2 linked regions of the Drosophila melanogaster genome follow. The protein of the gene in region 1 interacts with the protein of each later gene in a pairwise test. Each region holds a gene or a part of one and is shown in the gene's direction. Other genes may lie near its edges.

Region 1 (4,013 bases):
TGACCGAAGCTGGACCGGTAAGGAAACGACATCAAAGATGGGCTAAGCGCGTTTTCAAAGTATACCGCATAAAATATTTTTAGAGGGCAAACATTTTGAACATTTAAACATTTTACTACATTAGAATGCATAAATTGATTGAATTAAAATACGGAGACTGGTGTTTTTAATCTGCATAATTTTGTAGTTGTAGCTAGTGCAACAAGGTTTCTATCAGTTCCAGGAAAACGCTTTGTTTACAAGCAAAGTGCTGATTTTTATGTTGATGGTCTTACCCTTTTGTTGTACAAAATTCCGGTGCTAAAATCGGATTAAAAGCGCATGAAGTTATTCGTAAGTAGTTGAAAATCGCACTAGAGATGAATCCTAATGTTTATAGTTTTCAGAACTATGGATCTGGCGAACGTAGATCAACGCCCCGTGAAGGACGAACCACCTCAAGAAGACACTTTCGAAGAAGAATTAATCTTCATTTCTAACAGCGACTTCGAAGAGCTTGAAAGCGAAATAAAGATTGAGAACTTCTGTAGTTATGGCAAAGATTTGGAGCCAGTTAAAGGCGTCCCGTCGAAGCTGAAGACGTGTAAATCCAAAATAGCAAAGAAGCGCCCCTTGCGAAAGCAAACAGATACGTTTAAGTGTACCCAATGCCAAAAGACGTTTACAAGAAAGGAAAACCTCGAATCACACTTGCGACTTCACGCAGAAGAACGTCCGTTCGAGTGTTCCCACTGCTCCAAGAGCTTTGGACGCAGGACGCATTACAAGCGACACTTGCTCAAACACGAAAAGCGACCTCATAAGTGTTCCCACTGCTCAAAAACCTTTACCCAGAATTCATCGCTTAAACAACATCTGCATGAGCACACAGGAGAGCGCCCCTTTAAGTGTACCCAGTGCTCGACGTCGTTCGCGCGAAAATCTCATCTTCAGGTACACTTACGTACGCATAGTGAAGAACGACCCTTTGAGTGTACCCATTGCGAAAAGGCATTTAAAAACAATTCACATCTCCAGGAACACTTGCGAACGCATCAGGAGGCACGGCCCTTTAAGTGTTCCCACTGCTCAAAGAGTTTTAAGCTAAGATCAATTCTACAAAAGCACTTGCTGACGCACGCCGAACGATCCTTTAAGTGTACCCAGTGCCCGAAGACTTTTCTGCAGAATGATAGTTTGCAAATTCATTTGCGAGTGCACGCGGGCGAAGACCCGTTCAAGTGTCCCCATTGCTCAGAGACCTTTGCAAGGAATTCGAGACTTCAACTACACTTACTTGAGCACGCTGGAAAAGAGCCCCTGAAGTGTTCCCAGTGCTCAGCCACCTTTGCCATGAGGTCACTTTATCGAGTCCACGTGCGTTTGCATACAAGAGAGCGACAGTACAAGTGCGCCGAATGCTCGAAATCTTTCTTCAAGAAGTCACATCTTGTGGAGCATCAGCAAGTGCATACGGGAGAGCGGCCCTTTAAGTGTACCCACTGTTTCAAGGACTTCAAATGTCGTACGCATCTTCGGGTGCATATGCTTGATCATATTGGAGAAAAGGTACCCAAGTGTTCCTACTGCTCGAAGGAGTTTAAACTAAGCTCGCAACTGCTGGTGCACCTGCAAGAGCATACTGGAAAAAACCAATTCGAGTGTCCCCACTGCTCGAAGTCCTATACAACTAGCTCGACTCTTCACATGCATTTGCGAACGCACACGGGAGAATTGCCCTTCAAGTGTTCGCACTGCTCAAAATTGTTTGCGAGAAGCGCAGAACACCAGGAACACTTGCGAACGCATACGGGGGAAAAACCCTACAAGTGTTCACACTGCTCAACCCGATACACACAAAAGTCCAGTCTTGGGCGACACCTGCGGCGAACCCTATGCGGCACTAAATCGGATTAAAACCAATTAGTTTAGAATTAACTTAGAAATAATGTAATAAGAAGTAAAGTAGGCGAAAATAAATAAATGAGTTTAAATATTTTTTTAAGTTTAGAAATCGGTAGTGTGCCCATTTGTTTAGTCCCCCTGATCGACCTGTACCATATTTGGCATTCAGCATTCGGTCACACTGCCGCCCAATTGCTGTGTCATTTTTGTTTCTGTGCGAAATAAGTCGGCTTTTTCATTTTACACATCAAATCACTGCATTTGCGGCCCAGGAAATATGGCTACCGAACGATACAGCTTTTCGTTGACCACGTTCAGGTGAGAGCATCGCTATAGCCGGAGCGGAGCATTCGCTTCGCCCCGCGCAACACAAACTGCCGCCATGACTGGGCAATAAGTACAATTTTCTACCGTTTGCAGTCCTTCCGGAAAACTCGTCCAACTGGAGTATGCATTGGCGGCCGTATCTGGCGGAGCTCCCTCCGTGGGCATTATAGGTTAGCATGCCGCACAGCCAGTCAGCCTGTCAGCCAGTACTGTGCATTCAACTAACACACTATTATTTATTTTTCTTGGCTGTAGCTTCCAACGGCGTCGTCATTGCCACAGAGAACAAACACAAGTCACCGCTGTATGAGCAGCACAGTGTACATCGCGTGGAGATGATCTACAACCACATCGGCATGGTGTACTCGGGAATGGGTCCGGACTACCGCCTGCTGGTCAAGCAGGCCCGCAAGATCGCCCAGACGTACTACCTGACCTACAAGGAGCCGATTCCAGTGTCACAGCTGGTGCAGCGCGTGGCCACGCTCATGCAGGAGTACACTCAGTCCGGGTAAGTGTGCGCGCTTTTCTCGACTTTGGGTTCCCATAGATAATCGTATGCAATCCCACCAACAGTGGCGTTCGTCCCTTTGGCGTTTCCCTACTGATCTGCGGCTGGGACAATGATCGTCCGTATCTCTACCAATCCGATCCTTCGGGCGCCTACTTCGCCTGGAAGGCCACTGCCATGGGCAAGAACGCAGTGAACGGCAAAACTTTCCTGGAGAAGCGGTAAGTACCAATAATAGTACACCAATTAAAGTCGCAAGTCACTCATATTTTCATCAACCTGCAGCTACAGCGAAGATCTGGAGCTGGACGACGCTGTTCACACCGCCATCCTTACGCTGAAAGAAGGTTTTGAGGGAAAAATGACTGCCGACAACATTGAGATCGGAATCTGCGATCAGAACGGATTCCAGCGTCTGGACCCCGCCTCAATCAAGGACTACTTGGCCAGCATCCCCTAAACTTAAACGCCCCGCTAAGATTACCACAAGCTAAGCTTTCTTAATAAGTACGGGACATTAAAAAACCAATAAAATTTTACAACTGGTGTTATTTGATATTCAGATTTTTATAAATAAGCCCTTTGTGGTAAATTCACTTCGCTCCGATGGCCTCAACGTATCCGGCACAAGTCTCTGGGTCAAAAACGAACAGATTACGGTGTGGCGCCTCCAATTTAGTAACCACCTTGATGACCTCTTGTGCCACAACGCCGCCGACAACAGCGACCGCTGGCGAGATCTGTGCAAAAATCAGACCTAGAGCTTCGTCGCCCAGTATAGAGTTGGGCAGCAGTTCGTCGCGAATTCCGCGAAGCAATTCCAGGTCAGCTTCTCGGGTCTTGTAGCTGGGATCCCGCTTGTGGGTTGTGCGGAACTTTTGCAGGACACTTAATAGCAAAACACCCGGGCCATTGCGCTTCAATTTTCGCAAATAACTAGGCTCGGTAACATCGAAATCAAGCCAGGCAGAGTAGCCGGGATAATCCACATCACGCTGCGTTGGAATGGACACGGTTTCATACTTCTTTTTCTTCTCCGAATTGGCTACGACCTTGTGCTTAATAACATCCCTGGAAAAAAGGTGGACATTAAGTTAGCAATGGGCAATGGTAGGTAGGGAACCTACTCGACGTAGCTGTGCTTCTGCAGACTGGCAAAGTAGAACCCGAAGGTGCCCCACACATCGGTGGCTATGAACTTGACGCCCAGGTCCCGGCAAATGGTGTCAATGCGCAACAGTTCCTCGTTGGTCGCGCCATTGACCACCACAACGTCGAACTGACCGAAGAA
Region 2 (4,166 bases), on another chromosome or scaffold:
GCACAGCTTTTTCAAATCGGGTGAAAGAAGAATGCGTAAGAAGCAATTCAGCTTGAAAATCAGTTTGCCAAAATGGGTCTGGGGTTCGATTTTAGTATCATTTCGGTATACTCCATTTGAATTGCCATAATTAATTGTATATACAAAAGAGCAGGAAGGATTATGTATCTAATTTTAATATACTTTTAAAATTGTAACTTATGTTTAGTGCTCTCGCTTAATTATAGTTTTGTAAAAACGGGCTATTTGTTTTTATTCGTAACTGAACACACATTTTTTTGAAAAATCAAAATATTATACAATGATTGTTTTAGTTTTAGTTGTTTAGGGTTTTTTGCTATTTTACACTTGCTTGTTTACAATTCGAAATTGGAGAACAGTATTAAAAGGCCAAGGCGAAGGCAAAGGCGAAACGAGAACTAAATATATTTAAATGCGATTTTCTCTGCGCGATTCCAATTTGTTAATCAATGTCACGCGCTCAAAAACTCACACGAAAAGTTCAAACAAACGGCAACCTGATGCGCAAATGAATAAAAAAAAAAAAATCGAGACACGCAACAACTCGGCAGAAGAATTAGTGGACGACGACGACACGGCTGTCGAGCCGTTCTTCTCCGAACCTGAAGAAGAATTACAAATTGTATTCGATTTACTCCTCTAGCAAAAGAGTCTGCGGCAATGCTCAAGTTTTGTGCGTTCGCTATGCTCGGCAATTGTTACTTAAATGTGCTTTAGTTCAGAACTATGTACCCATTCGGTTGCCTTATAAAAAGGATGTTTTTGTCTCTTCTTAGGGCTCATGAAGATTCAAAATATTCCTTTTGCCCCAAACTCAAAACGTTTGTTTTCCAAAATCTTTTGTTCAGACGTTGAAATAGAATGAGAAACCAATTAGAATTAGAGAGTCGATGGACAAACAAAGAGCGCAGCATTGCTCGATTGGAAATCTTTTGCAACTAAATAATTCTAGAATGCGAAGCAATTTGTAATTTTTATTGAAATGCCAACAACTTTGGGCCGTTTATAAAATGGCCGAAAGAGGAGGCATTTGAGCAAAGGGGTAAAAATAAAACAAAAACAAAAAACAAACAATTTAAGTGTTTTCAAAAAGTCAACAAACTCATATATGCAGCTATATATATATATAAAAATAATAAAAAAAAAAACATTAATTTATTTCTTACTATATAATTATTGTTGTACTAAGTCGGTGAGAAAACCCATGAAAGAAAGAAATTCACACGAAAACTAAAAAACAAAATGCATATTTATTAAAAATAAGCAAAGGTTGTGCAAAAAAAAAACACATTAAAAAGCAACATTATTATTGTAAAAATTAACTAAATACGGCAATTGTTATTAAATGTGCAAAATTCAGCAAACACATTGATACAAACCTCAGAAAATACAAGCCAAGATCTGAAAACGGACATCAATGGAATGCAAATTTTTGAAAATATAAGGCAAGATGAACCGTGAACGGATCAAACAGAAACGGAAACGGAAACAAAACACTCAACAACAAGAAGTACAAAATGTTAAATATGTATCTATAATTTACAATTACGTTTTATATTACTCTCTAATTTACACGCTTACACAATGGAAAAATAGCTAACTATTATTGCAATCGTCCTCAAACACACAATAAAACTAGATCAAAAGGCGGAATTATTACTTTAGCTAAAATAAAATATCACCTTTTGCAATTTGTATCATTTTCTTACCCTTATTGTTTCACATCGAAATCAGAAAAAATAGTTAAAATAGCCGCATATACTCATATTAAATTGAAAAGAAACGTGTCATTGCAGAAAAGGATAAAGAAAATAGTAATATAAATGATATATTTATTCATATAAATGTATTTGAAAATGTGAACAAAAGAATACCAACAATAAAACACAATTTAATAAACAATGTGAAAGCTACGAGTGTGTTTTTTTTTTAAAACACTTAAAAACACAGTAGCCGTGCAGTCAAAAATCCAAAACAAGAAAACCAAATTTCGAAATGGAGGAGCTAATGAGGCAGAACGGACAGAAATGCGAGAGGCAGGAACTCACCTGCAGCGTTTTATTTACCAAGTGAGTTAATCTTAAACCAGTCGGAGTAATCTTAAAATATTTTCCTTCTCCTTGCAGTCCCAAGCTTAGTGCCGAGAAGTTATCCTCCAATGATGAAATAAACTCCATTGCGAGATTCGTATCGAAGGCGGAGGATCTCGAAATGCATAGAGTGTTCAGTAAGATATCAAAGAATGGTGTCGAGGAGACCACGTCTCTGAATCGCTCCCTCTTCGAGTTCGGTCATAATTTCGAGGATGCCGATGGCTGGCTGAAACTGGAGCAGCCTTGCAAGGATCGGCTGGCCACGGTGCTGCGCTACATGTTCGAGTCCCATCTGAAGACCACTGTGCAGATAGAAATCAACAATATGTACTTCAATTGCCACTTCATCGTGCTGCAGGTGTACTCTCGCTTCTTTAGTGAACTGGAGATGATTCCGCTGCTGGTCACCCTGCCCGAGAAGATCGTGTCCCAGAAGGCCTTTATGCTCTCCTACAAATGGATGCTGAGCGATGAGCCCGTCCTGGAGCTGGCTCACATTGTGGAGGTCTATGTGGCCGCCACTTATTTGAGGATCTCTGGTCTGGCGGCGCATTGTTGGAAATATTTCGATGATGAGGAATACTACAACGAGGATACGGCATGTGTCCTATACGTCGAGTCGAAGGACAATCCCGCCATGGATGTAGTTCGCAATTTGATGCTGACTAGGATCCGCAAGTTTCTGCTCACCTTTGTGGCCACCAGGGATTTCCTCGATCTGCCGACCTCCCATCTGATTTTTTTGCTCGAATCCGATCAAATCTGTGTGAACACCGAGATTGAGGTGGTGTTCAACATAATATTTATAGTTATTATTGCATTTTATATGTTTTTCTTAGGTTTTCTTTATAGCTGTTCGATGGCTGGGTCACGATTGGAACAAGAGGAAAGTGCACGTACGTCGTTTAATGTCCTGTATTCGATTCAACCTGATGCCATTGTGGTATCTACTATATGCGCGACGGGAGGAGGATCACCCGTTGGTGATGAAGCTGATTTTCAACCCGGAGGTGGAGTACAAGATCGACGAATCCATATCGAGAATAACGTCGCGCATGTACGAGGATGCCTTGGAGGGCAATGACGCACAGAGTGAGGAATACGCAAGTGATTCCGGACAGCGAAACTGGATATGCGATAGCTTGTGCAGCTATTATCACGGCGTCGGTTGTCCCAATACCCGGGAAATTCGTTTCAAACACTTCGAGGATTACCTTTCGGAATTACAACAATGCTCCAAAGATCACTGGTCTCAGGTGATATTTCAGGACCCGAGTAAAAAGATTGACTGTTGCAGCACAAGGAAGATAAAATCGGACGATTTTGTTGCCGATTAACTATTGAGTTTGAATAGTAACGACTAGAATTCAAATTTGCGGGCTTCAGTTTGTGCTAGTATAACAACTTGGCACACTTTTCTGTTATACATTGTACACTTCGTTCATTTGATATTTATGAAACAAATCAGCATATTTTTAATAATATATTTTTTAAAATGTACATCAACATTTTAAAAAAAAAGCAAGTGGTTTAATAAATATAATTAATATTTATTGTATTATTGTCGCAACTTTAAGTGTGACCATTTCTGCAACGCTCTTTGGCATTTCGGGCAGATAGGGTGGCGTGCACACTTTGCATTGTTTTGGAAAATAATTTGATACATTTATCAGGAAAATGGAAAAACTGGAGGCCCTAAAAATATCCTCGATGCGTCCGCGCAGCAACATCCTAGACAGACCACTATCCAAGGGCAAAACGGAGGTTTCCCAGAGCATTGTGGCGCTGCTTTTCAGCGAAATCGTCCAGTACTCGCAGAGCCGAGTGTTTACAGTCCCAGAATTGCAAACAAGGTGGGAGTTTCTCTAAGTTTTTGCGATTAATTCGTTAATTCCAAGGCGTTTTCAGACTCCACGATCTGGGTCAAGATGTAGGCACCCGCATAATCGACCTGTATTTCGTGAGGGAGCGCAGCTCCAAGCGAGAAACAAAACTAACCCAAATGCTTCTCTTTGTTAAGACCACGGTGTGGAAGAATCTCTTTGGCAAAGA

Evidence for each region.
Region 2: the proteins of Prosalpha2 (region 1) and CG12857 interact in a two-hybrid assay, tested with the Drosophila melanogaster proteins (2 studies listed by BioGRID).

What each region holds. Positions count from the first base shown.
Region 1 is NT_033777.3:12,429,280-12,433,292, forward strand, and holds Prosalpha2 (proteasome alpha2 subunit), read left to right. Parts: upstream 1-2,041; 5' UTR 2,042-2,161; coding exon 2,162-2,202; intron 2,203-2,304; coding exon 2,305-2,381; intron 2,382-2,466; coding exon 2,467-2,722; intron 2,723-2,787; coding exon 2,788-2,943; intron 2,944-3,007; coding exon 3,008-3,182; 3' UTR 3,183-3,277; downstream 3,278-4,013. Other genes in the region: CG5245 (uncharacterized protein), read left to right, coding at 391-1,896; Aos1 (activator of SUMO 1), read right to left, coding at 3,316-3,793, 3,850-4,013. UniProt on the Drosophila melanogaster protein: The proteasome is a multicatalytic proteinase complex which is characterized by its ability to cleave peptides with Arg, Phe, Tyr, Leu, and Glu adjacent to the leaving group at neutral or slightly basic pH.
Region 2 is NT_033778.4:14,757,407-14,761,572, reverse strand, and holds CG12857 (uncharacterized protein), read left to right. Parts: upstream 1-1,970; 5' UTR 1,971-2,016; coding exon 2,017-2,090; intron 2,091-2,147; coding exon 2,148-2,898; intron 2,899-2,953; coding exon 2,954-3,451; 3' UTR 3,452-3,666; downstream 3,667-4,166. Other genes in the region: Trs31 (TRAPP subunit 31), read left to right, coding at 3,792-3,967, 4,023-4,166.